Linked DNA regions of Mus musculus: region 1 is reported to be linked to region 2. Evidence: microRNA targets listed by miRTarBase, many of them from high-throughput screens and not tested one by one. Region 2 holds a microRNA gene; the other region holds the end of a gene's coding sequence.
Evidence for each region. The annotated mature microRNA mmu-miR-3084-3p reads UUCUGCCAGUCUCCUUCAGAC and lies in region 2 at 9,256-9,276, opposite strand. An mRNA with a match to its seed (bases 2 to 7 or 8) in the 3' UTR can be bound and repressed. Matches are read on the target gene's strand: a 7mer-m8 pairs with bases 2 to 8, a 7mer-A1 pairs with bases 2 to 7 and ends in A, and an 8mer does both.

Region 1: the mRNA of Mtif2 is a reported target of mmu-miR-3084-3p. Seed matches in the 3' UTR shown: 7mer-m8 at 14,684-14,690.

Annotation. Positions count from the first base shown.
Region 1 is chr11:29,544,281-29,559,843 of GRCm38, reverse strand. It overlaps Mtif2 (mitochondrial translational initiation factor 2), which reads right to left. Exons shown (of 14, transcript NM_133767.3): 13 at 15,434-15,563; 14 at 14,392-14,931. The coding sequence ends at 14,759. Rps27a (ribosomal protein S27A) reads left to right here and starts at 11,804. Exons shown (of 6, transcript NM_024277.2): 1 at 11,804-12,003; 2 at 12,099-12,163; 3 at 12,584-12,638; 4 at 13,056-13,141; 5 at 13,422-13,553; 6 at 13,815-14,002. The coding sequence starts at 12,116. The coding sequence ends at 13,964. It overlaps Clhc1 (clathrin heavy chain linker domain containing 1), which reads right to left and starts at 11,894. Exons shown (of 12, transcript NM_028504.1): 1 at 11,704-11,894; 2 at 6,082-6,340; 3 at 3,588-3,808; 4 at 2,058-2,191. The coding sequence starts at 6,258. It also overlaps the pseudogene Gm12090.
Region 2 is chr19:24,932,985-24,948,719 of GRCm38, forward strand. Mir3084-1 (microRNA 3084-1) reads right to left here and starts at 9,319; the gene lies at 9,251-9,319. Cbwd1 (COBW domain containing 1) reads right to left here. Exons shown (of 15, transcript NM_146097.3): 6 at 15,085-15,122; 7 at 9,699-9,745; 8 at 7,765-7,851; 9 at 5,412-5,456.

The DNA of each region.
Region 1 (15,563 bases), not on the chromosome of region 2:
TCTCTGCCCTCCAACTCTCTGGCGGGCCTGGAGAGCTCCCTTCGCTGCCACACCGCGCCAGCTCAGTCTCTAGCTAGCCCCTACAGTGACTGATCGCTGTGTTCCCAGCTCTTTGGCTCCGCTAGCTCCTTCTCAGCCATAAACCCCTGTAATTGGTGGTCCCACATTCCAGTAACCAAGTAAATCAAAACTCTTGAAGCTTTTAATTAACCAATCAGATTTATGTATCAATAAATTCCCAATTCACAAGATGCCAATACAATAATTTCAGAACCAACTGATAATAATAAAAGCTGCCCACCTAAATTAGACAAATTATTCTAACCTTTATGATATACCTGTAGCTATTTAAAGCCAAGCTGGTTCAGGTTCTTCTTCTGTCCTTCCTGAGATGCTCTCTGTCTCTGCAACTCTTAGCTCCGCCTCCCCTTTTCCTGTCCAATCACAGGCCTCCTGCTGCACTAATTATTTTAATGTAATTGGACAGGGAAAAATCCTGTCACACACACTTGTACTCTTTAATTCCAGTACAGAGAGGGATAGCGGGAGGCAGAGGCAGGTGGATTTCTGTGTGGTCAAGGTCATTCTTGTCTACATAGGAAGTTCCAGGATAGCCAGGTTACATAGAAAGAACCCATCTTAGATCAAAATAAAAAATAAAAAATAAGCCGGGCGTGGTGGTGCACGCCTTCAGTCCCAGCACTTGGGAGGCAGAGGCAGGCAGATTTCTGAGTTCGAGGCCAGCCTGGGCTACAGAGAAACCCTGTCTCGAAAAACAAAACAACAAAACAAAACAAAACAAACAAACAAAAAAACCCGAAAAATAAAAATAAAAAATACCTACAGAGGGCATGAGAGACGGTTCATTGGTTAAGAGTGCTGGTTCTACTAACAGAAGTCTGGGTTCAATTTCTAGTGCCCACAACTGTCTTAACTTCATTTCTAGGATATATGATACCTTCTAACCTCTATGGGCACTGGGCATGCATGTGGTACAAAGACATACATTCAAAACAAAACACCCACAGACACAAAAAATAATAAAAAAAAAATAAAGCATTAAAAAACAAGACACACATCCAAATCTACCCTCTCCAGAATTTCCCTATCCTCAGGATTAACCCTTTTAGATTTTAAGCATTCTTTCCCCATGACTCTTGTTGGTAGTAAACCAATGTGCCATGTATTCTGTGTTTATTCACATTTATTATTTGGAGTTTGTTAGTCACGATTTTGCATTTGAAAGTAACCCTACTATTACCAAATGCCAGAGAATTTGAAAACCTGGGTTGATAAAAACACAGCTTCTTCAATATAGGTGAAATATGTCTTTCTAAAGTTTTCACGTACTGGTTCTGTCTCTGGATAAATACTGTGCAAAAAACTGCTTTAAGTACTGGAGTTACAATCCTTAGTCTTGAGTCATAATCTGTTCATCAAAGTAATCTCTCCAAGTTCTACATGAAGCTAGGATATGAAACCAGTAAACTCAGACATCACCACAAATGTCTTTCAGCAAACTTAATACACTAGAGTTGTTAGTGCACCAGTGGCTCTCAATCAGAATAATCAGAACTTCAGATGTCACCCACTGGACTCAACCACCAAGTTTCTGACATTATAAGTCTGAGATAAGATCCACAAATGTGTGTGTGTGTCCACTTGTTTCTACCAGTCTCTGTCCACCCCAGAACTGGATTACAGAGCAGGCACTGGCTTTTGCATGGGAGAGGGGTTTGAACCTTGAGTTTGCACAGTAATCACTTTAATTGCTAATCTTACCAACTCCACAGATCTTCACTTCTAATAGTTCTCAAATGATGCCAACATTGATGTGAGAGCTTCTGACTGCACACCATGTGACCTGGGCAGATTGTAAGTCTTCACATTCTTCAGGATTGCTTGAAGTTTGCTCTGTCCTGGACAGTACCCTGCCTAAAGTTGCTTGTACAACTGACTGTTCATATATGAGCATCTTATACTAGCTGTGTAAGAGACAGCCAACGGGACACACTGGGGAATGTCTCTGGTATAGAACTGTACACACGATACTGCACCTGGGATAGGTTTCCAAAGCTGTCTGGAGGGAGCACAGAGCTTTACTTCTTTCTTGTCATACTCCATTCTCAGCTGCTTCATCTGATCTATTTGCAATTGAATTGCTGTGGAATTATTTTCAATAATCCTCATTCTTAAAAACAAAACAGAAATGTTTTCATATGCTTGTCACAACCAATCTAATTCTTGATTCACAATATTTAAAAAAAAAGACTAGATTTTTGTTTTATTTGACTAATTATAATTTGAGCCATTATGAACTAGAAGTTTAAAAATCCATACTCAGAAGGTGACACACCACAAATAAGGAAAAATTCCCTCTCAGATCGCCAATAAAAGCATAATACAAGCTGGGTGGTGGTGGCGCACGCCTTTAATCCCAGCACTTGGAAGGCAGAGGCAGGCAGATTTCTGAGTTCGAGACCAGCCTGGTCTACAAAGTGAGTTCCAGAACAGCCAGGGCTATACAGAGAAACTCTGTCTCAAAAAACAAAACAAACAAACAAACAAAAAAACAAAAACAAAATAAAAACAAAAAAAAAAACCCAAAAAAACACAAAACCAAAAAAAAAAAAAAGCATAATGCAAACCCCATTTCAAATCAATAAATGTTATCTAGCCAAAAACACCATCTATTCAGTTACAACTGAAAATGTATTTTTAGTTTTCCTTTTTTCTTTTCTTTTTCTTTTTTCTTTTGGAAGGGTCTCCTTATATAGCTAAATTTGGCTTTGAATTTGTTATCTTACTCCTTCAGCCTCCCAAGTGCTGGATTACAGGTATGAGCCACCACACTAGGCTTAAAGAAGCTTTAAACAAACAAACAAACAAGAAACTGTCATTTTGCTGGGGGCTATTGCAACAATTATTACACATTTGGTGACTTAAAGTAACATTTATCTTCTCACCATTCTGGAGGTCAGAAATTCAAAGTAGTATTATTAGACCACACTGTAGCCAAGAAACGAGCATTTGGCAGGCTGAGACAGGAGGATTGTTCTAAGTCTGAGCTACATAGTGAAATCTAATTTTTTAAAAATCGTTTTCAAGGAGGATTTTGTTCTCCTTGGTGGGTTTCTTACTACTGGAATCAGGAGATTAAGTGCTGTCATTCAAGTGGGAAGCATGAACTTGTATTGACAAATCTTCCATGCATGAAATAACTTTCTTCCTTTTATGACACCATGATGTAACTTCATAATATCAAGAGGCATCATACAAATTCTCAAGCAAAATTAAGTTTAACTTGAAATATAGAATAGTTGGTAGAAGGGAATATAAAATATAGCTTAAAATAACATTTTAATTAAAGGCAGGCATGGAATAATCTTGTAACCTGTAACTTGAAGGCTGAAGGCCTTGAGCAAGACCAGCCTGGTGAATTCAGCTAGCTCTGACTAAAATGTGACACCCTATCTCAAAATAGTAACATAAAGAAAACAGTGATTTTTTTTTTTTTTTTTATAAAAGACTCGCTGATTACCACCCAGTAGCATGACACTTTTCTAGTTAGTTATTGACACACTCACTTTGCTTCGAGTTGGATTGCTCTTCTCTGGTGATACACCAATGCTGTAGGCTCTTTTGCCAAAACTTTAAGTTTTCCATGAAGATAAAAAGCAGTTCTTCGGCCTTTCTTTATTGTCTCAATAAAGGCGTCATATTCTTTTTTGATTGCAGTAAGAATGGACTTGTATGCACTGACATAGTCTATTACCTGAAATATGATTTTTCTGTCTGTGGCACTGAACTTTTTTAACAGAAAATATGGTGATGAAAAGCCTTTTAAGGAGGCTATTTTTAGGTGAAACATAATTATTAATTAGACATATAAACATCTTACACAAACTCAACATGAGTAGGCACTAAAAACAATAACCACCAAGCATATGCTCTCCATGGGTCACTATGTAGACACTGTGATCCTAGATATGAAAAGGGCTTTCTTATGCTTGGTATGAACTCACACATGGGACATGAACTGATATAATACTAGGTTTACATTTCTCAACTGGAGGTCTTTTAATTATATATCTCTTACTCCTTTGAAATCTAGTCTCTTGACTTAATTTTTACATTATTTTTATACTATTTTTAATTATTTCTATGTGTGTCTGTGTGCAGGTGTGTGCATGTGAGTGTAGGTACATGCAGAAATCAGAGGTTTCAGATCTCCTAGAGCTGGAGTTACTCGTAGTTATGACCTACCTGATGTGGGTACTAAGAATCTAACTCAGGTCTTCTGGAAGAGCACTTTACGCACTAGTTAACCACTGAGCAATCTCTCTATCCCCCACGGAGATACTGTAATCTGAACTCATTCACCTCCACTAGGAAAATCAGATCAGAGCTCCTAATTGTATCTCTATTCTCAACATGTCAAACAACTGTGAAAACAGTTTACATGGCTACATAGTCATAGTTTCCAATAATATGTAAGCAAAGCAACTTTCAGGAAGTATAACAGAGAAAAAGAACAGTAGAAAAGTTAACAAAGCCTGGCGGTGGTGGCGCACGCCTTTAGCACTCGGGAGGCAGAGGCAGGCGGATTTCTGAGTTCGAGGCTAGCCTGGTCTACAAAGTAAGTTCCAGGACAGCCAGGGCTACACAGAGAAACCCTGTCTTGGGGGGGGGGTGGAGAAGAAAAAAGAAAGAAAGGTTAACAAAAAAACCTAAATGCGCTCAGAAAGGCTACTTTCCATGAAGCAGGGGAGGAGCAGGGAGTGGTGGAGGTGGCTCCACAGCACATGCCCCTTTATTAGGGCTGTTTTTTCTTAATCTTGTATATCCATCACTGATATAATACTAGGTCTACACAAAAATTATCAAAAAATTTAAATAGGTTATGAAACAAAACAAAAACTTTGTTTTTTAAATATTGATGATGTATAGGGAATAAAAGTAATCGATCCAAAATTTTCTCTGAAATCTGAAATTATGCTTGTTTTTCTCTGCTACTTTTCTTGGGTGTGTTATCCCCTACAAGTGGTTTTGTTTGTTTGTTTGTTTAGCTAAATAGTATCGAAAGAAAGTTATCCAGGAAGACATCCATTTTTATCACAAGTGATCTAGAGAGGTCATTAATCTGCAGCAAGTACCAGGAAAAGGCAGCTGAGGAATACAGTGCTCTTTTTAATTTTTTTGCCATAGCCACACCCCGTCTACCTCAAAGAGGACCCTTTCATAATGAAAAGCTTTCCACACTAAGTATCTGATACATGTTCATCTTTTAGCTCACGTGTTCCTGTTGTGTGCTCTAATAACCCAACTCAGGTACATGAATGGGTAGTCAATACGACTACAGTAACTCCATGAACAATGATCATGCCAGTGTGCTACAAGAACCAGGTCTCAGCAGAACACCGATGGATACCATTTAGAATATACAGAAAAGCATTAAAGTGGAAGCTGCAAAGGAATACCACCATATCTAGCACTCTAAAAGGGCTCAAACTGTTTAGATGAAATTCCATTCATTGATTCATTCACTGATTTTATGTCATAATGTTGTCCATGGTGGCTGCCAACTCCTGGCTGTGTAGGATTCCCCATCTTCAGCCTCCCTACCAGCTGGGATGACTGGCATGTGGCATAGCACTTGGCTCAAGAGGTCTCAATTTACCATGCCATATCATATCTAAACCAAGATTTTACTGATACCACAAACAAACCCAGAACATAAAATACTAGTTCTTGTTCATAATGCAAATTCTAGCAAATTAGCACCTTCACTTGAAACGTTAGAAATGATTACCAGAGGGTACAAACCAGTTATTGGGGGAAAAAATACTACTTGCTAAACTAAAATAATTGACTCTAACTAGCCTAACTAGTCATCAGGAAATGTAAATTCTGCACTTGAGCTTTCCCTCTTCATCCTGGTTTAACAAAAATGGGTGAATTTCCCCAAACTAGCATTCAGAAAGCAGTGGCCAGGCAGGCAAGTAGCATTACTGAGGTGGTAGTTAAGCTAGGTAACAAAGAGCCTCTTGAAACATGCCCTACTCAAGAGCATCATGGTACCTTGTCGAAAACGTTTCGGTATATGGTGTAATATTCATCAGCAGGTCCTTCCTCTTTGCAACCCACTCTTTTGGTTTCTGTAGTTATGTATCTTTGTATGCTTTCCAAAAACTCCTTGTCATTTCTACTAACGATAGGAGGGAGAACTGCATGTGTGTTTACTTCTTGGACGGACATAAATCTTAATCTGTAAGCTTGTTCACCGGAGAAAAATTAAACCTTGACCTTCTTTTGCCATAAAGCCAAAGCTTTAGTGAGCCTGAAAGAAAACATGATAGTCAGTTAATGTGTAGGTGTAAACCTTTTAAGTCAAAAGTCAATTTAAAAATACGTATGTGTCAAAAGGAAAATTAAGAGATCTGTTATTGAGATAAATATTCCAGTCAATGACTTAAAATGTCCATTCATGCTAGACTACAGAATACAAATGAAATGTCAATTAAGAACTCCTCCCTGGGGCTGGAGAGATGGCTCAGTGGTTAAGAGCACCTACTGCTCTTCCGAAGGTCCTGAGTTCAAATCCCAGCAACCACATGGTGGCTAACAACCATCCGTAATGAGATCTGATGCCCTCTTCTGGTGCATCTGAAGACAGCTACAGTGTACTTAGATATAATAATAAATAAATCTTAAAAAAAAAGAACTCCTCCCTGCTCTCCCTCTCCCTCCCTCTCTCTCTCTCTCTCTCTCTCTCTCTCTCTCTCTCTCTCTCTCTCTCTCTCTCTCTCTCTCCTTTTCTGGCTGGAACCACGGAGGCTGTTCCAGAGAAGAAAAAGAAGGTTGCCACTGTGCCAGAAACCCGTAAGAAAAAGCGAAGGAATTTCACAGAGTTGAAGGTGAAGCGCCTGAGGAAGAAGTTTGCCCTGAAGACACTTCGAAAGGCAAGGAGGAAGCTCATCTACGAGAAGGCACAGCACTATCACAAGGAGTACAGGCAGATAGATGTACTGGACTGAGATTCGGATGGCCAGGATGGCAAGGAATCTGGGAACTTCTATGTGCCCAGAGAACCAAAACTGGCCTTTGTCATCAGAATCCGAGGTATCAATGGAGTAAGCTCAAAGGTCCGCAAGGTATTGCAGCTTCTTTGTCTTTGACAGCTCTTCAATGGCACCTTTGTTAAGCTCAAAAAGGCTTCAATTAACATGCTGGGGATTGTGGAATCGTATATTGCATGAGGCAACCCTAACCTGAAGTCAATAAACGAACTCATCTACAAGCGAGGCTACGGCAAAAATCAACAAGAAGCGGATTGCCTTGAAAGATAATTCCTAGCCGGGCAGTGGTGGTGCACGCCTTTGATTCCAGCACTTGGGAGGCAGAGGCAGGCAGATTTTTGAGTTCAAGGCCAGCCTGGTCTACAAAGTGAGTTCCAGGACAGCCCAGACAGCCAGGGCTATACAGAGAAACCCTGTCTCGGAAAAAAAAAAAAAAAAAAAAAAAAGATAATTCCTTGATTGCGCTATCTCCTGGTAAGTTTGGCATCATCTGCATGGAGGATCTAATTCATGCGATCTATACAATTGGGAAATGCTTCAAGAAAGCAAATAACTTCCTGTGGCCCTTCAAATTATCTTCCCCACGAGGTGGAATGAAGAAAAAGATAACTCACTTTGTAGAAGACGGAGATGCTGGCAACAGGGAAGACCAGATAAACAGGCTTATTAGACGGATGAACTAAGGTGTCAGCCATGGTATTTTTGTAATCTGGTCAGTTAATAAACAGTCACAGCTTGGCAAATTGGAAAAAAAAAAAAGAACTCCTCCCTGTTGGGCAGTGGTGGCACATGCCTTTAATCTCAGCACCTGGGAGGCAGAGGCAGGAGGATTTCTGAGTTCGAGGCTAGCCTGGTCTACAGAGTGAGTTCCAGGACAGCCAGAAAAACCCCCATCTTGAAAAACAAACCAAACCAAACAAACAAACAAACAAACAAAACAAAAAACCAAAGAACTCCTCCTTTAGGGCACAACAGATAATGTACTTGCGGGCAAAAGCCTGAAGACCTGAGTTAGAGACCAAAACAAAGGTGGGAAAAGAAAAACCGAACTCCACAAAGCTGTCCTCTGACCTCCACACAAGAAACCCTGCCAGAATGCTGATCAAGCATAGAAAACCCCCTTTCCTTTGGAAACCAAGCTGACTCCTCTCATGTGTATCACTTAAATGATAGCTTCTTAGGTTTCAATTCAACACTTAAAAACAAACCCACCATGTATTTCAGAACACTGGGGATAAAATCAGTCTCTAGAACATGGTAAGTAAGCTATGTACCACTGAGAAATACTCCAGCCCTCTGTTTAAAATTTTATATCACATTTTAATTATTTTAAGGTGTGTGAAATGGAAAGTAGCTGAGACTTTGCTCTCCCAAAAGGTTTCTTTTTTCATGTGAGGAATGACTGTGTATGCTTCTTGCTGATACAAACAAGGTCAAATACTTCTCTACCTCAGTGCCTGTGACATTGATCTATCAAACAATGACCATAGTTAGTTGAGTTTTGAATTGTTTTAAATTGTTGTTTAAAGACAGGCTTTGTGGCAACCCTAACTTCCTAAGTAGCTGAGAATGACCTTGAATAACTCACCTTCCTGCCTTCACTTCCCATATGACAAAAACACACCACATGCTTAAATAAACAGATCAATTCCAATAACAACAAAACTTGACTTCTAGGGCTGGAGAGATGGTCCCAGTTAAAAGCACTGGTTAATTTTTTATTGAATCTGGATTTGATTCCAGCACCTACATAGTGACTTACAACCATCTGTAACTTCAGTTCCAGCAAACTGATGGTTTCTTCTGGCTTCCACTGGCACCAGGCATGCAAGTGATACACCAGACATAAGCACAGGCAAAGCCCATGCACACACACAGAGACATACACACTCACACACACACATACACAGGCAGAAAGGGCCTTGTTGGGAAGAAGGGTTTCAGTAGGAGGAGTTAGGATGAGACAGGGTGATAGTGAAAAAGACTAAAACTCACTAAATATATGAAGCTATCAAAAAAGAAAAATTTTAAGCTACTGCTGTGGTGGGACACACCTTTTTTTTAAATTTTTTTTGGGACACATCTTTAATCTTAGCACTTGGGAGGCAGAAACAGTTGGATCTTTATGAGTTCAAGGCCAATTTGGTCTACATAGTAAAATCCAGACCAGCTAGGGCTACACAGTTAGATTCTGTGTCAAAAAACAATGTTTATTTATTTATTCTAAAGAGCTCTAATGATAGTATTGCATAGTTTTTCATGGCATGAGATTCCATTAATTATTTAATCATCCCAATTAGTTATTGAACTTTTACTACTATAAATAATGATGTGTTGAATAAGTGTTTCAGTTAACTTTATGATATATTGGCAATATAGCTATATAACCAGTTATCTAAACTAATGTATTGAGCTTCAAATACCACAGACATGAATCAGGACACCAGTCTCCATAGTGGTGCATGTCTTTAATCCCATCACTTGAGAGGGAAACAGCTGATCGTCTGTGGGTTCAAGGCCAAGTTGGTCTACATAGTGAGATCCTGGCTAGCCAAGACTACATAGTACGGTCCTGTCTCAAATAAATAAATAAACTAAAAATAAAAAAAAAATAAGGGAGACACCACAATAATTTTGATGAGTTGGATAACAAAAAGTCAAGAGGACATAATTTACAAGAGGACATAAAGTAGTCTGAGCAAAGCCATAAGCAATGTATGCTTAAAGTGCCAATTTTACAAAAACAATCACTTAGTGTCTGTGTGTGGGCACATGCTTGTCACGGTACACACATAGAGGTCAGAGGACAATTTATGGAAGCCCGTTCCTCTTCCTCCTCCATGGAGGTTCCAGCAACTGGATCAGCAGTCTTGGCAGCAAGTGCATTAGCTCTTGGAGCCATATCACTGCCCTAAAGTGTTCTCAAATATAAAATCAATTTGTTTTACTCATTAGTTCAATCACTATTGGATGTCTATTTAATATTTTACTGCTAGAGATTCAGCAATAAGTAAAATAAGGTCCTGGCTCCTTGGAGCTTAAAATTTGGTAAGACACAGATGATGTAATTGCAAATAGTCAAAGACAGGGGAAGGGCACAGTCACTGGGGCACACATCGGAGTAGTAGTGGCAGAAACCCAAGTTCCTCCTTTGGTGTCCTATTAATATCCTTTTAGGGGCTTTTATTCTGACAAAGCTATCTTTTTATGTTATGCCCTTGTTCCTACTTGAAGCAACACATTTTATTCTCTGTAGTGTTGGATATCAATTCTAGGGCCTCACACATGCTCAGATAACCTTTAACCCCAAAGTAAAATATTTGAATGATGTGGAATAACACCATCACTTTTTGCTTTTCTGTTTATGTTCACATTCGTGTGGGTACATGTGTGGAGACAGGAGGATCACGTTATATTGAGTGTGTGTGTGGGTCTTCTTAATCAGTCTACCTTTTATTTTTAAATTTTTATTGCACTTCGTTAGTTCGGGGGTAGGGAGCGCTGTGAAAGTCTGAGGGCAACTTGCTAGAGTTGGTTTTCTCCACCAATTGAATCTCAAGGTTGATCAGATCTAGAGCAGATGTAAATTTTCTTTACTGATGGAGCCATCTGGAAGCCCCATCTTATTTTAAGAAATATGTATGTCATGTGTGGGTGTAGGGTCGTCGGCCCCCATCTCTCATTGAACCTGCTGGCCAATGAGGTCCAGGGAGTCTCCTGTCTCTGCTGGCCTACCATGTCACAGACTCCACCAAGCACACCAACCTTTTTAAAAAGTGGGTGCTTGAGTTCCAACCCAGGGTTCTGCATATCGAATATTAGCTACTGTGTCATCTCCTAGCCCTACATTTTTACTTTTCAAAATGTGTAATTTGGAGGCAGCAGAGCTAGTATATTAAAATGAGGAAAGAGCAAACAGAGATTATTAGGGAGTTACGGATCCTCGTTGTAAGAAAACGGAGCACGCCTACGCTTACGGATAGGGTGAAAAGACATTGAGAGGGTGCATTAGAAAGGGCACTGGGTTTGTGAGGTGGAGAAGGGACTGAGAGAAGGCACCAGCTTTTAACAGCTTCAAGTTTCCCCGAGGGCACATGCTCCTATTTTCTCCAGGATGGACACGCTCCACATTTAAACTTATAGTCGAAAACTAAACATTCTGCAGATTTTCTTATCGTATGTTTTTTAAAACGTGAAAAGATGAAAATTCCAATACATTTAACCGTTTCATACTAGGGAGGCGCGTGACGCTCAAAAGCTTCTTCCGATCGGATGAAGGGTAGCGGAAGGGACTACCGGGAGGGGCAGAAACCTGCACTTAGAAAGACTTCGACTATACCTTAGATGTGGCTAGCTCACTACGGTGTGACAGACACCTTCAGCCCCCAAATGCCTTTCTAGCCCTTAAGCCTTCCCTCCGGGGCATTTCCAGAGAGTCCCCACCCACGCGCAAATCATAGTGCCTCATCCCCTGAGTCCTCACCTGACTCTCTCCTAACCCTCACTCCACAGCTTAGACAGTGTAATCAGGTATCCGGGAAGTGTGGAAATGCATCCTGGGACAAGTAGTTCTAACAAGAAGAAAGCAGTGTAAAACTACAATTCCCAGATAGACTTGTTTTACCTCTCTCTTATGTTTCACAAGCCCCCTTTAAAGGAAAGCCTCTCTTAATCGCATCGGCTGTATAAGAAAGCCTTTTGAGGCATTTTTTTTAGTTGAGCACATCATTTCGAGGCCATTCTGAGGTAAACCGAGAAAAGAGCGTAAAGAAACCGAGCGAACGAGCAAATCTGGCACTGCGTTAGACAGCCGCGATTCCGCTGCAGCGCGCAGGCACGTGTGTGGCCGCCTAAGGGGCGGGTCCTTCGGCCAGGAGACCCCGTCGGCCACGCTCGGATCTTCCTTTCCGATCCGCCATCGTGGGTGAGTGTATGCTCTGTGGCCGCGCTCTGGCTAGTGGCGCTACGCGTCGCTCTCACGGGTGTCGTCGGATCTAATCCGTCTCTTTTCGAATGCAGGTGGAGCCGCCGCCACGATGCAGATCTTTGTGAAGACCCTTACGGGGAAAACCATCACGCTCGAGGTACGGGCCACCTTGCCGTTGAGGAAGCCAAGGCCTGACTGAGGCCCTTAGTGTTTGAGGGCGGGTTTCTGAGTTTTGAGTTGTGAAACTTGGCTTTGAGCTGAGATTATGGTGCTTAGCAAAAACAACGTTTGGTTTTCGGTGTGGTACGGTTTAGCCTGCTTTATCCCGAGTGGCGAAATGTAGGGTAGGTGATGGGAGACGCTTTTCTCCGGGCAGACGCGTTCCTGTGCTTCCCCCGCCGTCGCTCGCCCTGGTATGGGGACTAATTTGGATTGTAGCACTCTGGGTAGTTTGCACGCGGTGTCATCTTAATTGATTACCTTTAGCTCACCTCCTCCTTGCTCGTTTTGTATAAAGCTAGCAGTTAATGACTTACTATGTAACCGTATATTAACTACATATATCAAAACTTGGCAGGTTGAACCCTCGGACACTATAGAAAATGTAAAGGCCAAGATCCAGGATAAGGAAGGCAAGTAAAGTTTGTCACTAGAAAAATGACTGGCTTGTGTGACCTAGACACGTTTGTTCTTAAGGTAGAAAACAGATTAATAAATTTAGATGCTTTTGAAAGTAAAATATTCCTGACATTAGTGTCAGGCTATCTGATTAACTGGAAACTCTGCAGGACAAATCTTTTAAAAGTTAATCTAGAACTGTTTACTGAGTCACAAAGACGATAAAATGCTCAGGCTGGGCAATGGCCCAGTCCACACTTTAATCTCAACACTAAGGAGGTAGAGGCAGCCTGGTTACAGAGAAAGTTCCAGGGCTTTTACTCTTGGAAAAAGTTGCATCTAAGTCTGTGACCACTGTTAGCAATCATTTGATTCACAACAATGGGGAATGTACCTTGTTCTATTAAGCCCAGTATTTTTTCCTCTAATAGGAATTCCTCCTGATCAGCAGAGGCTGATCTTTGCTGGTAAGCAGCTGGAAGATGGCCGGACTTTGTCTGACTACAACATTCAAAAGGTTTGTTTGAGGGAAAACATGCAGAAAAAGGGATGATATTGAATCCACTAACACTTGCTGAGCACTGTAGCTGTTCCATGATTTTAAAATATGCGATGGTTGGTTGACCCTTTTTGTAGAGAGCAGTCTCCTGTAGCTCAGGGCCAACTTGAACTGGATTCCTGAGCCTCCTTAAAATTCCTAGTGCTGGAGTGACAGGCCCAACACCACCCAACTTTTTGACAGGCTGGAGTTAGACTTGTTGATGCTACAGTGCTGCTGTTTCATCTTCCACTAACAGGAGTCCACCCTTCATCTGGTGTTGAGACTTCGGGGTGGTGCTAAGAAAAGGAAGAAGAAGTCTTACACCACTCCCAAGAAGAACAAGCATAAGAGGAAGAAGGTTAAGTTGGCTGTGCTGAAATACTATAAGGTAAGTGTGGTGTTAGCAAAACATGGGTTCCACTTGGAATAAGATCTGAGCAACTAACTTTTGGAAGTACTTTTGGAGTTGAAAGTGAACTCCCCTTTGATATTTAAGTGAGTTTATAGAATTGGAAACAGGATTTTTAATTTGGAGAACTGACTTAAACCACTAAAAATTGGTACTGTGAGATCAATAGCTTGAGTCACTTAAATCAGGTTTCAGAATATGTTTTGTGAAATCATCTTACAGTAAATTCTTGTTTTGCAGGTGGATGAAAATGGCAAAATTAGCCGACTTCGTCGAGAGTGTCCTTCTGATGAATGTGGTGCTGGAGTTTTCATGGGAAGCCACTTTGACAGGCATTACTGTGGCAAGTGTTGTCTGACTTACTGCTTCAACAAACCAGAAGACAAGTAGTTGTGTATGCGTTAATAAAAAGAAGGAACTCGTACTTAGTATTGTGCTTTATTGTACATTTAAAGAATGTTTCTTTGGCTGTGTGATGTTGTATGAGCTGCAGCTGTCAAAGCCAATATAAAACTTGGCATCATGGCATGGCATGATGGCAGGCACTAAGGTCAATTCTTTTTAAGGGGTTGTGGAATATCCTGTAGACTTGGAAGTAGAAGCTACAGGACAGTATGTCTCACAAATAAGTTGAAGGTGCCAAGTCAAAGCTGCTTGGAATATATGGGAATAATACTGTATTGGTATGTGCATAAGCTGTTGAATGTTTTCAGTGTTGATTGGTAATTTTCCCCCTATATGAGAGATACAAGCTAGGCATGGTGGTACATAGTTAATTTCAGGACCCTGTATTTAAATGAAGGGAAAATATTTACCATTTTTTTAAAAGAATTATTTATTATATATAAGTACACTGTAGCTGTCTTCAGACACTCCAGAAGAGTGTCAGATCTCATTACGGATGGTTGTGAGCCACCATGTGGTGGCTGGGATTTGAACTCAGGACCTCCAGAAGAGCAGTCAGTGAGCCATCTCTCCAGCCCATTTACCTTTTTTTTTTTTTTTTATTTTTTTGGTTTTTCCGAGACAGGGTTTCTCTGTATAGCTCTGGCTGTCCTGGAACTCACTTTGTAGACCAGGCTGGCCTCGAACTCAGAAATCCGCCTGCCTCTGCCACCCAAGTGCTGGGATTAAAGGCGTGCACCACCACACCCGGCTTCCCATTTACCATTTTTAATGTGCTTTTAAAATCCTGGATCCCAGGAAGTCTTAGTTGGAACTTTATTTTCTTCATAACAAATGACTTGATCTCCCGGTTTGAATTCGACTTTTTCTTCATCTAAACTAAGACCACAGTCCATACCAGTTTTTATAACTGAAATGTCATCTTTATGGTGTTTCAGAGAGGTTAATGATCCTTAAAAGAAAAAAGTCATGCTGAGTATATTCAACAAATAGCAAGTTACCTACTAAAGTTGTATATATTGTGTAAGATCCATGTTCCATGGTAGTTGTAGAGGTCAGGACAATTTGGTTACTACCTTCATGGGATATTAAACACAAGCTGTAGGGCTTATGAGGCAAATGTCTTTACCTGCTGTGCTCCATTTCTACCCTTCCAGTGAATTCTGGGAGATTGATTTCATCTGAAATCTTCCATTTTAAAGATAGTCTAAGTCTTTATTTTTGAGGTTGTACCCAGAAAAAAAGTCCAAAGATGGCAGGCAAGTCTTAACTAGTGTGCATTGTGTGGGGTCTTGGGTTCAGTCCTCCGTTATGGGGACAAAACAACAAAGAGCTTAAATGTTGGGAGCAAAAATAGACTTAAACTAGGGGTGGAGCAGGGAGAGCATAGGTCTTGGATGGTTACACAGAGAGAGGGGCTGTACAATTTAGAAATAGATTTTGATATTGCTTACCCTTCCAAATAACTTGGCCGTTTCGGATTAATTTAAACTTCTTATGTCTTTCTAATTGTCCCTTTTGAACTCTGCAGCCAGCAACAGGAATTTTTTTCTTCCCTTCTGTTACAGTGAAGGTAGCTAGTAT
Region 2 (15,735 bases):
CAGGAATTCAAGTCACTAATAATCACACAGTACCTCATGGTTTAAGTACATAGAGGTAAATTTAAAAAAACAGATGACTGACTTTCAGTTTTAACCTAAGCCCACAAAAGAGCAGAAAACCTTGAGCTCATAATTAAACTAAAATGAAGGAAATATTTCAAAGAACACAACAAAGCTACAATGAAAAGTACAATTATATTTCAATACCAGACTCAAGCAGCTTGCCAGACATTAAATATCTTGTCAGACATCTGTCACACTCAAGACATTTGATTAAGCATACAAATTTAAGTTTAGCTCACAAGTGTCCAGCTGGGCCCGCCTTGCTTACTTGCAGCAGCCAGCCACACTCTCAGGACAGCACTCTACACAATTATAAACGCTTATCTTGGCATAGATGGACAAATTCCCATCTTATTAAACAACAAATACCACAACATTCTGTGTTAATATACTATATCAACACTTCACATTCTGGACACACTAGAGGTGCTGAGCCAGGAAAACAATAAAGCAAGGAAGCAAATGGTCTGTGAAGAAATTTCTGAGTATCAATTTACACTAAGAGATGGAAATCCTAGTGTTAAGCATACTTCCTTTCCCACCTTAACTGTTAAACAAGAACAAGCTTAAACCATGAATTTGTCATCTTCACTGAAGTCTGTAGGTACCGATTCTGTGAACACCCTTCTAACTACAGCACTGCCTCACTGTGACAGTGTCCTTGAGAATGCTACCATTTAGAGATAACCACACTGTAGCAACTCCACTAAGTACTATTAAAAATCAAAGTACCAACAACAACCATCAAATTCTCAGTGACAAGGCATGAGCTTCCTTCCACATACAAGTTTTTATGAACTTTCCCCCAAACTAGCACTGCTTTGGAAATGAATGTCTCTTCTCATTTAATACATGTCTAGAAAACTTTTTATGGAATTGTTTAATTCAGAAATAAAAATACCAGACATTTTCCCAGGCATTCAAACCATAAGATGGAAAGACCATTACCATTTTAAATTAAATATGAAAATAAATCAAGGGAAAAAAGAGTTCACTCGTCTCCTACTGTCTTATATAGCCTGCAGATGCTACTTTAAGGAAACTGCCTAACCACCTTTTAAAATTCAATGAATTGCTCCACAGGGTTCACCTAGTCTACACACTTGCTGTTATTTCCAAAAGCATTGTGCTAAACTCTAGCACTAAATTTCCAAATGTTGTTCCAAGTGGATCTAAAACTCAAGTGATTATAAAATCAATTCATTGTCCTTCCTAAAGCCATGCTCATCCCACTCTATGCAAGTCTTGCCAACCTTCTTGTACGCCCGGAACTTCAGAGACTAGCCCGCAGTTGAGTTCACCCTTTAATTCTCTCACTGTTTTTAAATCTTTCAGTAACTCCTTGTTGCCTACAGAGAAAATCCTGTATATTGTGGCATTCATGGTCCTCACACACCTTTTCTCTCAGCCAAATGCAGCCATGTGTCCTAGTCATTCTAAAATATTATCTCTGTATTTTTTGTTTTGTTTTGTTTTGTTTTTTTGAGGCAGGGTTTCTCTGTGTAGCCCTGGCTGTCCTGGAACTCACTGTGTAGACCAGGCTGGCCTCGAACTCAGAAATCCGCCTGCCTCTGCCTCCCAAGTGCTGGGATTAAAGGCGAGCTCCACCACGCCCTGCTTATCTCTGAAATATTAAGTGAAGATTTTCTTCACTTGCACACTTATCCTGGGAAAGCACCTGCACTCCAGGCCATCTGGGAAATTTTTCCCTTCACTGTTCAAGACTAATCAACGATCATTTTTTTAGTTAAGTTTTCCAGACTTCATCAGGAAAGATCAAATGGTCATGCCTCTGCTTTTTATTCTTACAGAATGCTGAGCAATTTTTCTTTCTATTGTGATATATTAATACTATCTAAGGTGTTGCTTTTTGCTTGTTCACTTCTCAGTTTTCCCCCAAATGATTGATCACTCCAGTGTCTTAAAAGTACTTATGTCTTATCTGTTGCTTAATTCCTGATCCCACCCTGAAATGCCTAGAACTAGTGGAAAACTGCAATGGTTGTTAAATTATTATTGACCAACTGTATTTTTATTTTCCTCTGTTCAATTTTCTTGAATCTTTAAAAACCTTTGTTTGTTTGTTTGTTTGTTTTTTGAGACAGAGTTTCTCTGTATAGTCCTGGCTGTCCTGGAACTCACTCTGTAGACCAGGCTGGCCTCTGCCTCCCAAGTGCTGGGATTAAAGGCGTGCACCACCAAGCCCGGCCTGAATCTTTAAAATCTTAAGAAGTCCTTAAATAAGAATGCATGCCTTCTTGACGGATGCCCTGGGGAAGGGGAAACCCATGCCCCACCAGAGTTTTACCTATGCTCTGGTCTGTCAGGCATGGGAGAGCTGCCATACACTTTCCACTCAGTCCTGGGTGGACATTCAAGCCTCTGACCCACTCTTCAGGGGGTGGCCAAGGGGCAGCCCTACCTGGGAACCCTGGAGCTACTTTGCTAAAGCCACCAGGGTTATAGGAGAGAAGGATGAGGGAAGAGAGGTTCCCAACACCTGCAAGAGTGAGTGCAGCAGATCTTGACTGGAGCACAGAAAGGCCTTCTAATGGGTGGCTCATTAGGAGAAAGCCTGTCCCATCCTCCAAGCGCAGTGGGCCTTGATGAGCAGAGACATTCTATGGTTTTAGAGCTTTATTATAGAAATGCAGGGGGAAAGAGAGAGGGGGAGAGAGAGAGAGAGAGAGAAGGCCAGAGAGAAAGAGTAAGAGGGAGAAAGGAGAGGAGAGAAGACAAAGGAAAGAGGAGAAGTGAGAGGAGGGAGAACAAAGGAGTGAGAGAGACAAGTCAGAGGGCAAGGTGGGGCTGAACAGCCCTTTTTATGGTCTTTACTGTTGCTAGGTAACTGGGGAGGAGTTTAGCCTGAAGGTCAGAAGCTTGGGCCATTGCCTACATGACTTCTAGCCATGCTTCTCTTGTGGGGGCTGTGGGGGGCGCGGTAACTTAGGCAGGAGCCAGAGTTGCAGGAGCATGAGGGAACGCCTACCGTGTCATGTAGGTGAATTATGACTTCGGGTTCAGACCTCAGCCCAACTGGAGACAAGCCTGCAATTCCCCACACCTTCTAACTTTCCCTCCTACTTCCAATGTCTACAAAGTTCCATAGAAATTGTATTTGCTTGCCAATCCAATTAAACCTTGCCAGTAAGATAACACCTCACATGATTCTTACTATTTTACAAAGTTTGCTTATATTTGCTTATAGCACGTTCACTTTGCCAACTTTAAAATACTAATGGGATTAAAATGTTAAAAATAATGATTCCAATTATTCTGCTAAGAAATAAATCTTGTTTCTAAACTGAGAGGCCCAAGTTGTTGTTTGTATGTCTCTAGGAATTTGGGAAATTACATAAGATTCATGATCCAATAATAAGACTACTACAGATATCTGATCTTCATGGAAAAGGTCTCTAATTCAACTCCCAAGTTCCCAGCAAGGACATGAGTTCAGAGACTCAGATTCACTGCCAACAGCAGATACTTAAGAAAGAGAAGATAAGGACTGGTGAGATGGCTCAGCAGATAAGAGCACCCGACTGCTCTTCTGAAGGTCCTGAGTTCAAGTCCCAGCAACCACATGGAAGTCCCAGCAATCACATGGTGGCTCACAACCATCCATAAGGAGATCTGACTCCCTGTTCTGGTGTGTCTGAAGACAGCTGCAGTGTACTTACATATAATAAATAAATAAATCTTAAAAAGAAAACAATGTTTAAAAAAAAAGAAAGAAAGAGAAGATAAAGATTTTTTTCATTTGCACCCTTAATCCTTAAGCAACAAGTATGATTAGTATTTCTGTAAGAGAGCAAATGTTGGAAATGGTCAAATAAACAAAATCAATATATAAGCTAATCAAGAGGAACCTTTAGTTATAACATGGATAATTTCAAAGTGGAAACAAAGAAAATACAAACTAAATACATGCTGTCACAACAGAACCACAGTTACTGATAGATATGATTCTCAAAAGCTGATTTAAGTCTATGGAGTTGTCTGTCATTTATAAAAGAAAGAAAATCAAGGAGAAAACAGTAGACTGTGATAGGAATGAAGGCTGAGCAATGGCTTGGAGTATGTGTTAGACTTATCAGGTTTCTACAATGGAACTGGAAAATCTGGGAGTACATCTACTTATATAGTGCCTGTAGCAGGCTCACACTAAAGGCATCTGTGGCTCCTGCAAACACATACCAAATTCATTCCCAGCTGCATCCACACTCAGAGCAGCTGCTGCTGTCACCGCTTCACACTTCTGGCAGTCTGTCAGCACCTCTAATCTTTGCCATTGCAGACAGCCCACTCAGCTAAGACCTCTCTGCATTTGACAATGGAAAACTCTTTCAGCTAGAGGCTGGGTGGTACTAAGCTGCCAGCTGTGAGTCTGAGTCTATTGGCTACTAAGCCATTCTTGTCCCCAACATGAACTTAACAAAATATCCCTACACTGAAGTTTTCTGAAATCATCACCATTCAACAATAACAACAACAAAACCAGTTCAATCTACAAAAGAACAGTTCACAGAGGGTTTGTTGTTGTTTTTTCAAGAGAGTACAAATATTTTAGAAGATTATGCACATCTTTATGAACAGAACTACAGGTAAGAGAAAGCTATAAAAGCTGTAAAATATATAAAGGGATGCATTAATAATTTAAACATAATAATTTCATGTATTCTTATTACAGTTTTTTTTTTGCAAAAATAAGATTTTAAAGTATTAAAAACCTATTTAAAGGCCTTACATTAACATGCTTTTCCAGATTTATGTATCATAGTTGTATAGTTGCTAACAAAGGAACTAAGTATGGCAAACTAATTTGTAAAGAGCATTCAGACAATATTTAGGTATTACTTTAATGTGTCTATATCCTTGTTATAGCACAGTTAAGTTACTTATTTTCTGAGACAGGGTTTCTGGCTACCCTGAAACTCGCTCTGTAGACTAGGCTGGGCTTTAACTCAGAGATCCACCTGCCTCTGCCTCCCAGGTGCTGGGATTAAAGGTGTGCATCACCAACGCCTGTACTTTCTAATTTCTAATGTCTATTCTTAACTAAAGGCTAATTTATTTGTTGTTGGTATTAGTAATAGATTTTTTTCCTTTTCTTCCTCCCTCCCCACAATGGCATGTAGGCCAGGCTGTCCTTGAACTTTCTAAATAAACAAGGATGAACTTGAACTTCTGCCTCTGCCTCTGCCTCTATATCCAAGTGCTGAGATTACAGGCATGTGCATTCTATAGTTTATGCAGTACTACAGTCAAATTCAGGGCCTTGTGCATAGTAGGCAACAATCTCACAACTGACATACACCTCCATTTCTAATAGCAACTTTAAAAAGTACCTTGATCTCTGAGTTTCTAAAACTTTTCCCAGTCCATTTATTGATCTGAAATAAAAAGCAAAAGAAAGAGATTTAAAAAGTGGTGATTTTTTTAAAAGCATACAAAAATTATTCCTAAAACAAAAAGTAAACATCTTTTCTTTCTCTCCCCCACCCCACCTTTTGCTTTGTTCTGGTTTTTTGTTTGTTTGTTTTTGTTTTGCTTTTTTTTTGTTAATGGCTTAGAATTCTTTCTCTTCAAACCACAAATCTGGCACAATCTATGTGCATTCAAGAAAACTTGTTACTACAAAAAAAAAAAAAAAAGAAGAAAGGAAGGAAGGAAGGAAGGAAGGAAGGAAGGAAGGAAGGAAGGAAGGAGATCCTTCACTTTAGGAAGAGGCTAAGGCTATGGCTCAGTGGTACAGGCTTAATTAGCATGCACAAAACCACTGTTTCACCCCAGCATTGCCAAAAAAAAGGGGGGGTTCCATAAGAAGCAGGGATTCTTAATGTTCTTGTATAGTCAAAACTTTTACAAGACAGCCAAATTCTATACATATTCATTGTAGAAATGGAGAACACAAAACACCAAAAAAAAAAAAAGTTTCCCTTTGTATGCCACAAAAAAATTACTTTAATTCCTTTAAACATCTTTAACACCTATATGTTTTTGTCTTATTAATTCTCTTTTCTTTACAGACACATGTCCAAAATATATGCTGATGGTTCAATATGTTCTAATGGGTTCTTTCTGTATAAAATAATTCTGAGGTAAGTCTCATTTTTGGACGACTAACTAACTGCTAACTAACTACTAACTACTACTAACAAGAGTACTAATTTTCAATTCAGAGAAACAAATCTCCATTGTAAGAGCTCAGGAAGCACCCACTGTCAGGGAGTGCAAAGCTCACCAACAATTTCACAAGTCTCATGAGTACTTAAAGTAAACGTGTAAGATAGGTTTTATTCTTGTTTTGCAGATGATATTCAAGAAGCCTAAATAAACCTCCTCAGAACAGGAAGAAACAGATCAAGAATTACAACCAAAGCAGACTTCAACTCCCATATTCCTAAACATTATGCAGTATTATCTGCCTTCCATATGAGAAAGTACTTTTTGTAGCAAAATCTAAGGATACTATTATTAAAACAAGAAAAAATATAGAGGGAAAGTATGAATTTCTTTCTCTTGCAATCATAATCATTAGAAATGACTTAATAGTTATGCATTTTTGATTCAGTTTTATACCATGTACTATATAAATTAGTGGTACTACAGTCAACATGTGAGGCCAATAGAAATGACATTAAATGTGGTAATACTAATTCATTATAAAAAGCTCTACTGTGACTAAAAGTGACCAATAAGAAAAGCTACTGAAATATACGGCATTGCCTAGTTTAAGTATTACAAAATAACTCAAAACACAATCTTTGGATTTTACTCTCATTTGAAAAGTTCACCTTTGGCTTCAAAAGGAATGAGAATCTCCAAAACAGCCAGCAAGATGACTGTTTGATATTTATTAATAACATAGTATCATTCATATTAGTCTATTTTGATTACCCTTATACATAGGCAATGAAGACATAAAGCAAAGACAAAGGACAGTTGATAACTAAGGAAACCATTAAAATCAAGAAGGGTTTACAGGGAACTGGCACAATATGAGCAAGATTTCATTAAGGAATGGGAAGAAAAGGGAGAATAGGATCTGCAGATGAAAATACATAATATTATATGTTATAAAGGAGGGATAGACTCAGAAACTGGTAAGTGAGAAAATAGTAGTTGGGAGCTGGTAAGACACATAGATGAAGAAGTAAATTAACTGTCTTAGAGAGGTAAGGAGGCTTGCCCTTAGGAAAGAGTCAAAGGACAGACAGGAAATGGAAACTCATAAGGAGAGTCAGTGGACCCAGAATATCAGCCAAAAAAATCTGAATTATGTTTTGCAAGAGCTGGTGAATTATTTTATACATTTCTATTTATTTATCAGTCAATTAGCCAAGAACTATATATATGATTCCTTTATGATCCTTGAAGCAAGTCAACCTTAGACCTTATCTTATATTCCTATAGAGCAATACCCATGGTTTAAAATATTTTACATGTTAAAATTTATATTTGAAGGCATTTAACATACTTATAATTTTCACTGTTCACTAAAACTGAAAATAGATTTATTTTTAATTGGCATGTAAGAGCTATATATAATAATGGGGGTCATGTGACATTTCAGTACGTACAAACTATTGCACTTCAGTAAACAGACCTAGCTTCTCCAAATTTATCATCTCTTAATGGTAAAAACATCAAATATTCTTTCTTCTGGCTTTCAAACTACAATAGTCAAGTGCACTGTACCTGATAGTTGTTCTTAAGTTGTTTAGCTCCTCTTCTGAAACCAAGTCTGTTTTATTGATGAGAATCATGTCTGCCAATGCAACTTGCCTAAAAGAGCAAAGGACAAGTGTCAGAAAAAAAATGTTAAGAACTCACAAAACCATAGAAACATATTTAAGCCAACATTTCAATTAATAACTAGCTTGGGTTCAGTTTACTCCCAACCTACTCACTCTACAGAAGAATTCCATACATTACTTTGTAAGCTCATCCAAAAAGAATTATTTATTGATCCTATAAAGATAAGCCTCCAGAGTTTTAGATCAGAGAATAATTTTCAGTTCACAAGTGTGTGTGTCTGTGTCTCTGTGTGTCTGTCTGTCTGTCTGTGTGTATATATATGTTAAAGAAATGCATAAAATTTAGTATCTACTATGATGGGAATAAGGACAGTCTAGTTGATAAAAAAGTTATAAAATTTATCATAATTTTCAAAGAAATATAAAATTCACTTAACATTAAGTAGTTTGCTTTAAAAAACTACTTTCAGGAAATTCAGGAAATTCTAACCACTGGACTACTATTTTCTAATCTGTTCTTTTACAGGATTAGAAATAAAATTAAAAAACATGAGCAAAATTGAAAAAACAAAAAACTACAGAATTTATATCACAACCCTACTTCTGTGTAAGTAATCTTATGTGGCTAAAAACAGAATGCACACATCTCCAAATCTTTAAATTTACTCTTTATGAACTTTACATTTTCTGATATTTTCTATTTGCTTTATGTATATTTTCTACAATAACTATTTTGGTGAAAAAAGTTACAATCATACTTAAATTCATTTTAATTTAAATCACATTTGTACAATAACAAAAAATTTAGGAAGGACAACAGAAGAATTCAATAATAAATTGAATTCAATAAACCTCAAGATAACAAGAAATCATTTGTCCTCACTCTTTCTTTCCTATCTCAGGAGGCCTCACTCCTAAGCCCAGCAGCATATTTGGTTTGTAACCCTTCAGCCCATTAGTGAAGATATACCTAGGGTAAGGAAAGTACTTTAAATACTTGTAAGTCTACGAACAAAACAAAAGAGAACTTAAAAGTACTTACCACTGTTTTCAGTACCAAGTCACAAGTATTTCAGTAATTGTTCCTCTGTACTGAGTAACAGTGGGAAGTGAGGCAGTTTTTTTTTGTTGTTTTTTTTGTTTTGTTTTGTTTAATAACAACAGCTACTACTTAATCACACGTTTTCTGTAAAATTTCATGATAGCTATAGGAAGCAGAAATTATGCCCATTGTTCAAAAAGGGAAAAACTGAAGTTCATACAATTCAGCCCAGCAAAAGACTACTGGAACTTGGGTTTTAAGCCCAGGTATGACTACATTATACATATCTATGTTCTGAATTCCCAATTTCATAAATGAAAGAACCTAATGGTCACATTCATAGATAAAGTCCTGCTACTTACCCCAATACAAATATTTCTAATTCTTTTTGTCTGAAGGAGACTGGCAGAATTACTATATTCAGTTACTCTGCTAATTAACCTTCAACTATTTGTATAGCACATAAGAAATAACACTGCTCACATTTTCAAAAGAAAGCAGGTCAATGAAATGTGCAAGAGGCAGTTTTTAAGGAAGCAAATTAACTATCTTCAATTCCAAAGGGGCATGAGAACAAAACGCTTCTAAATGTTAGACTCTTCTAAATTCATAAAGATCAGGTAAGTCTTATGTCTACCATTCATTTTATCCCACAATATAAATGGCTTAAATAAAATGCTAGTCATGGGTCCATGAGGGGTAGACAGTAATAATGTGTGGAAGGAAAAGGAAACAAATTTGTCTTAACTATCTTTCTTTTTTTTCCGTTTGTTTTTATGTTACTTCTATTTTCTAACAGGTTGGTAATTAATATAAGCTTTAAATATGAATACCTAGTAGCTTCATTGACAAGGCCATCAGGTTTTTCTTCAGTTAAATGCTGAACAAAACAAAATTTAAAAGAATTACTATAATACAATACAAAAATCTAATATCAACACAAAGGATTTTATTTTAAAGCTACCTATCTTGTCTTAATGAGACTTTAAGTTCTATTCCTAAATACAAATTTACAGAAGACTTTTGGTTTAGTTAGTTGCTACACAGAATTGATTTAGAAGGCCATTCACCTTTTCACCTCTGAAAGCAACCCCTCTCTCAATAGTAGTTATATCCTGAAGTCATCTATGCTAGCATAAAAGGGTTACCAGAGGTTGTCTTTTGCAAATTCATGTTTTCAACCACATGACTCTCAACAGAGACTCCCGATCACAAGAAAAATCTGGCTACTAAGGGCGATAGACAACTAGATTATATTAACACTTCACATTTTAATGGACCTTTATATATACTTATTTAATTTTTGCAACATTTTAACTCGTTTAGGCATTATGACTATATATATATATATATATGTTATATATATATATATATATATATATATATATATATATATATATACACACACATACACACATACATATATATATGTACTTTTATATATTACCACCAGACTATTTTTTACTAAAAGCACGCTTGATAGAAGTAAAGTGAACACTATTTAAGATCTTTTTAAAAGCTTTTTATGCCATGTACAACCAGTTTTCTAGAGAATATTACTTAATTGTTGCATAAGAGAATATGTAGGATTACCTACAAGTTCCATCATATTTATCACTCTAGTTGTACAATTCATGGGGAGGTAACTATCATAGCTTCGAACTTAAGACACACTGATGATTATTCAATAGACTTGGTTAAGATTATAGAGGCAACTTTTTTTCCTTCTAAAAGTTTAACAAATACTATTTAGGTGTGACAAAACCAAAGTCATGACCATGACATAGTCATTTCATTTTTTTAATACAATTTTTTTTAAAGATTTATTTATTTATTATATGTAAGTACACTGTAGCTGTTTTCAGACACTCCAGAGAGGGCGTCAGATCTCATTATGGATGGTTATGAGCCACCATGTGGTTGCTGGGATTTGAACTCTGGACCTTTGGAAGAGCAGTTGGGTGCTCTTACCTACTGAGCCATCTCACCAGCCCCCTTAATACAATTTTATAAATTCAACCACATACTCACTTCCCAGTTACAAAGCTCACAGAACACAGAGTGTAATGTATCATCAATAACTTACTCCATGCCAAAAAGACCAAATTTAACATTCATGCTTTCATAATTATTCATGGTTTCTCACTATTAACAAATCCATTCAGCATGATATTCTCTGCATTTAGAGACTAAAGCTATCAGCAGGCCCTGGAGCAGTCCATGAATGACTTGTAGTTAACAGTCCCATTTGTTGACATAAACACAGGAATTTTGTTATTGAAAAAAAGCTATCCAACATGTGGCAACACATCTCTTTCCACTGAGCATTCTATCTACTAAAAAAATGCCATCTGCCTCTGCATGATCCCTTTCAACATTCTTTAAAACTAAAATATTTTTCAAGATGATCTACTGGAAGCTTCATCTGCATGCATATCAATTGATGTATCTGACTGTTCCTTGTAACATGTAAAAAAGGTATTAAAATGACTTTAAAATTGTTCTTAAATATAATTTAAAAAAACTTGGCAGATTCACAAAGCAACTTAACAAAGGTTTGAGACATTTATTCAAGATAAAATTTCATCTAGAGCTAAATGGCACAGACCAAGACTTGATTACCTTTAGGAAATATTAAATACTTAAAATAACTTAAAACCTCCAAAAATAAAAGTCTGCCAATGTATACAACTTGATTACAAATACATGTGACAATCATAGAAGAGATAAATGCCTTGCCTATTCACATATGAAAGCTTTCTAAACATAAAAAGTAATAAATGTATACTAACACTTATTTTCTGAGTATCAGCACTACAGGTTCCTTACGAAATTCCTACTTCCCAAGCCAGGCTTAGCAAAAAGACCAAAACTCTGCTTGCCACTCAGAGGTTATTTGGAAGCAGGACTTCAATTTATAAAATAAGAACAAAAATGTAAATTCTGATGTTCTAATCTACATATACAGGCATACAATTTAAAAGTTTTATAAAAAGATACCAATCTCCAAAGAAGTCCTCATCTCTGCTAGACTGTAGCTTTTGTTTAGGTTTAAAAAATGGCAATAATAATTTTGGCACTAATGAACCCAACAAACCAACATATTCAAAAATTAAACGTTCAAACTCACAGTGTGACCTACAGCAAAAGCAGTAACAACAAAAGACGTGAGGTGACGGTCAACGGACACAAGTCCTAGTTTCTCAGGAGGAATAAATTCTGGAAACTTATTCTGGAAAGCTAATTCATCAGGGCAACTATAATTAGGATTATGGGAGGGAATACTAGGAATCTGCAGTTATCACACCCTCTAAACTAGCAAAAACTAGTAACTATGTCAGTGGGTGGTCAAGGTTAACACTTGATTGTCCCACAATGTTTGCACAACATATACACAGACAGATCAGGGTAGTAAATTGTATGCCTTAAATCTATACGATTTTTATTTGTGAGTTATGGCTCAACAAAGCTGGGGGACACAAAGAAATGATTCAAAATAAATTATTACTATAGTCACAATTTCAAGAAGAGCTCCCAGAGTGCTTTCCTGCAGAATCAAGAAAAAAAGCAAGACCAAAGAAAATAAATCAAAATGGTCTAAAATTTCATTATCTGAGAAGGAACTGTGCTGACCACAGTAGAAACAAATCCAATGTCAAAGATGTCAGACATCAGACAAAGAAAAAGGAGAGAAATAGCAGCATGTATTTGTTTTGTTTTGTTTTGTTTTGTTTTGTTTTGTTTTTGTTCTTTACAAAGACTGGCTAGTGATCTAATGTGGTTTCAGCTTTGAAAAAAAAATTATTGCATAATGTCAATCTACTTATTTTCCTGGCCTTTTCCAACCCAAACTGTTTTCTGACTGAATTATTTCAACCTCTTGTGCAATACAACAGAAGGCTCAAAAAGAAACCTCTTACTTGACCTTTTATGTGTAAACTTCATTCATTGATTCTATTGCATTAAATGCTGTCACATTTGTAGAACTAAAAAGAACAATGTCAATGCCTAGATGTCAAGCCTTGAGAATAGAGAGCTGTCATTTTAAGTTGTCCAATTCTTTGGCCATGATTAAAAAATGAATATTTCAGATCAATGGGTGACAATCCCATTAGAGTGATAGGCTATGATATCAATTACCACTTCAGTTTCAATTTGGCTGGCTGGCCACAGGGTACCATTTCTCAGCTTTACTTGTGATGGGCTGGCTCTGTGAAGCATGACACCCTTAAATTGCTGCCCATTATCCAACTGTCATTACTTGTACTGCCTCAGAATTCTTTGAATCACAAGCAGCTACTGAGGTCAAGCTTTGCAACCAGAGGAATTGGACAAGTTGGCAAATTCTTTATATAAAGGCAAAGTTATTTATCTGACATATGACTTGGAAAATCTAAAGTTTCCATTATCCTGACAGTATGTCAGTTTTGTGTAGGTATATTGATTTAATAATTTAAGAGGTTTTATCAAGGTGGCAAGGGGTTAAACATATACTACATTTGTATTATTCAGAACATTGCTTTGTTTGGGGGATCTTTATCATGCCAGTAAAAGATTCTATTTAATTCCTCTCTATATCCAACTATAGGTATAAAATTATTTCTATAAGCATAAATTGCTAGAGTTTGACTTTGGATATAGCATGTCAAATGTATAAAAATAAAAGCAAATAAAATGTTCTGGCTGCTATCGTATGTACCCCAAATTTGTGAGTCAACTTAGAGAGGAAATTAATTCAAACATGCCTAAAAATATATTCAAAACAAAGAATTTGAAATTTTCTGGTGCTTTCTTTTTACATTTAAAAAAAAAGTTTTGAAAACAGTCATTACGGTGACTTATAACTTATCTTTAAAACACAAAAAAAACAAAAAAACAAAAAACAAAACCTCATTAAGCAAAGTGTGGTGACCCTCAGCTATAATCCCAGCACACAGATCTAAGAAGGAAGAATATGAGTTTCAGGACAGACTGGATTCCAAACCAAATTTAAGACTTCATGAGCTAAAGAGTAGACCCTTCGAACACACACACACACACACACACATACAGCCTTTAGAATTTTTCTGGCCAAAAGTATAATATTTGCAATCTTCCTTTTATCCCTAGTCTACTCATAAATTTAAATTCTAAACTCTAAAACAGGATTCAAATGTGTCAAATTAGGGTACTAAGAGTGAGGGTAGGAAGAGCCAGTAACATAGACTTGTAGCCATTTGGACAGGCCTGGTAAATTTTCCTAAAACATAATTTTATTGAAGATTTGGGAGAAAGACCAACATAAAAATTAAATTTAGATACATCAAGGGGTAAAATATTAAACTAACGTTTAAACACCAAGTTTATACTCCCAAGAAATTTTGCTCGTTTTCTGAGACAGGTTCTTACTATACAGCACTGGCAGGCCTAGAATTCACTACGTGGATCAAGCTGTCCTCTAACTCACTGACATCTGCCTGTCTCTACCTCCCAATTTCTGAGACAAAGGTGTATGCAATCATACCCAGCCTGTATGAAATTGCGAGTTTGTTCCCAGTCCATATGCCCAGACAGGCTGGAGAGCTGATGCCAGCACAGAGGCAGGCTCACTCTCCAAAGCCTTTTGTAACATTTGTTTCCTTAAAAAACTTCTCAGTTCACTTGAAAACCTGGGAAATGCTGTTTATTTTAAGCAGCAATAAGCTGTTAAGATCTTAGTTCATTTTATTTGTTTTTTTTTTTTTTTTTTCCTTAGTTCATTTTATAAATTGAGACAAACCTTAAAGACATCAGCAGTTAGCTAAAGTATTCACAGAATACTTCAAAATTAAATAAATCAGTACTTTAAGAAAAACTAATGTAGTTTGTGTTTCCTAACAGTTTATAACAAAAACTAAGATCTCATATAGTTTATTAGGCTGGGTTTTTTTTTTCCTATAAAATCCAATAATGGGAATGGATTCTAGTGAGAATAACACGTATCCAAATTTTATCCTATATAACCTTATAAAATACCATAGTAACTCCAATTTTTAATCACAACACCCAACCTAAAATAACACCCAGACTAAAATAAATACTAAGTTTAAAAGCACACAATAATAATAATAATAATAATAATAATAATGGCACATACAAAGTGCATCTTGAAAAAGATTTTTCTTAAGAAACAGAAAACAATACAACCAACCCCTTATTCCTACTCCTTGACAATTAGCAAGTTATATTTGCTCAACTTACTTTTAATCCATATTTTGAATCTACAACAGTTATGATACCTATAAAGAAATAAACATATCAGTCATTTTTTAAAGTTATCAGTATTATGCAACTATACTTGAAAAATTAAAACATATTTCAGTTCACAAATGTTATTCCATAAAATATTTTTTCTCTAATCAGTGTGGCAATTTAACTCAACCTCAGGAATAAGTTAGCTCTGTTGCTAAGAAACTAGAAAATTTATAAAATAGAAATTTTAAATTAAGTCAACAAAAAAAAATTCTTTGGTGTTTCAAACCCAAACTAAGACAAATTCCATAATACATAGTAAAGTAAGAAAAAGTATATAAGGCATGTTGTTTTTATTTTCACAGTCAAAGTGAAGCTTTTCTAAATAAATTGTTTAAAGAATCTGAGCCATCTTAGGATATTATATTCCTGCCCTCTGCTAATACACCTAGCTCACAAAAACAAAGCATCATACCAAGTATCTAAGTTCTCAAAAGATCAATTAGCTCAGCAATTTCAGAATATAAGTCAAATCGTTTTTAAAAATAACAGCAGAATCTGATGTCTATGAAACACAACAAGCTACATGCTATCTATAGTACTTCTCAACGAAACACAGCTTCAAAGATTCTTATCCTATAGTCTACATGATTGGTTTAA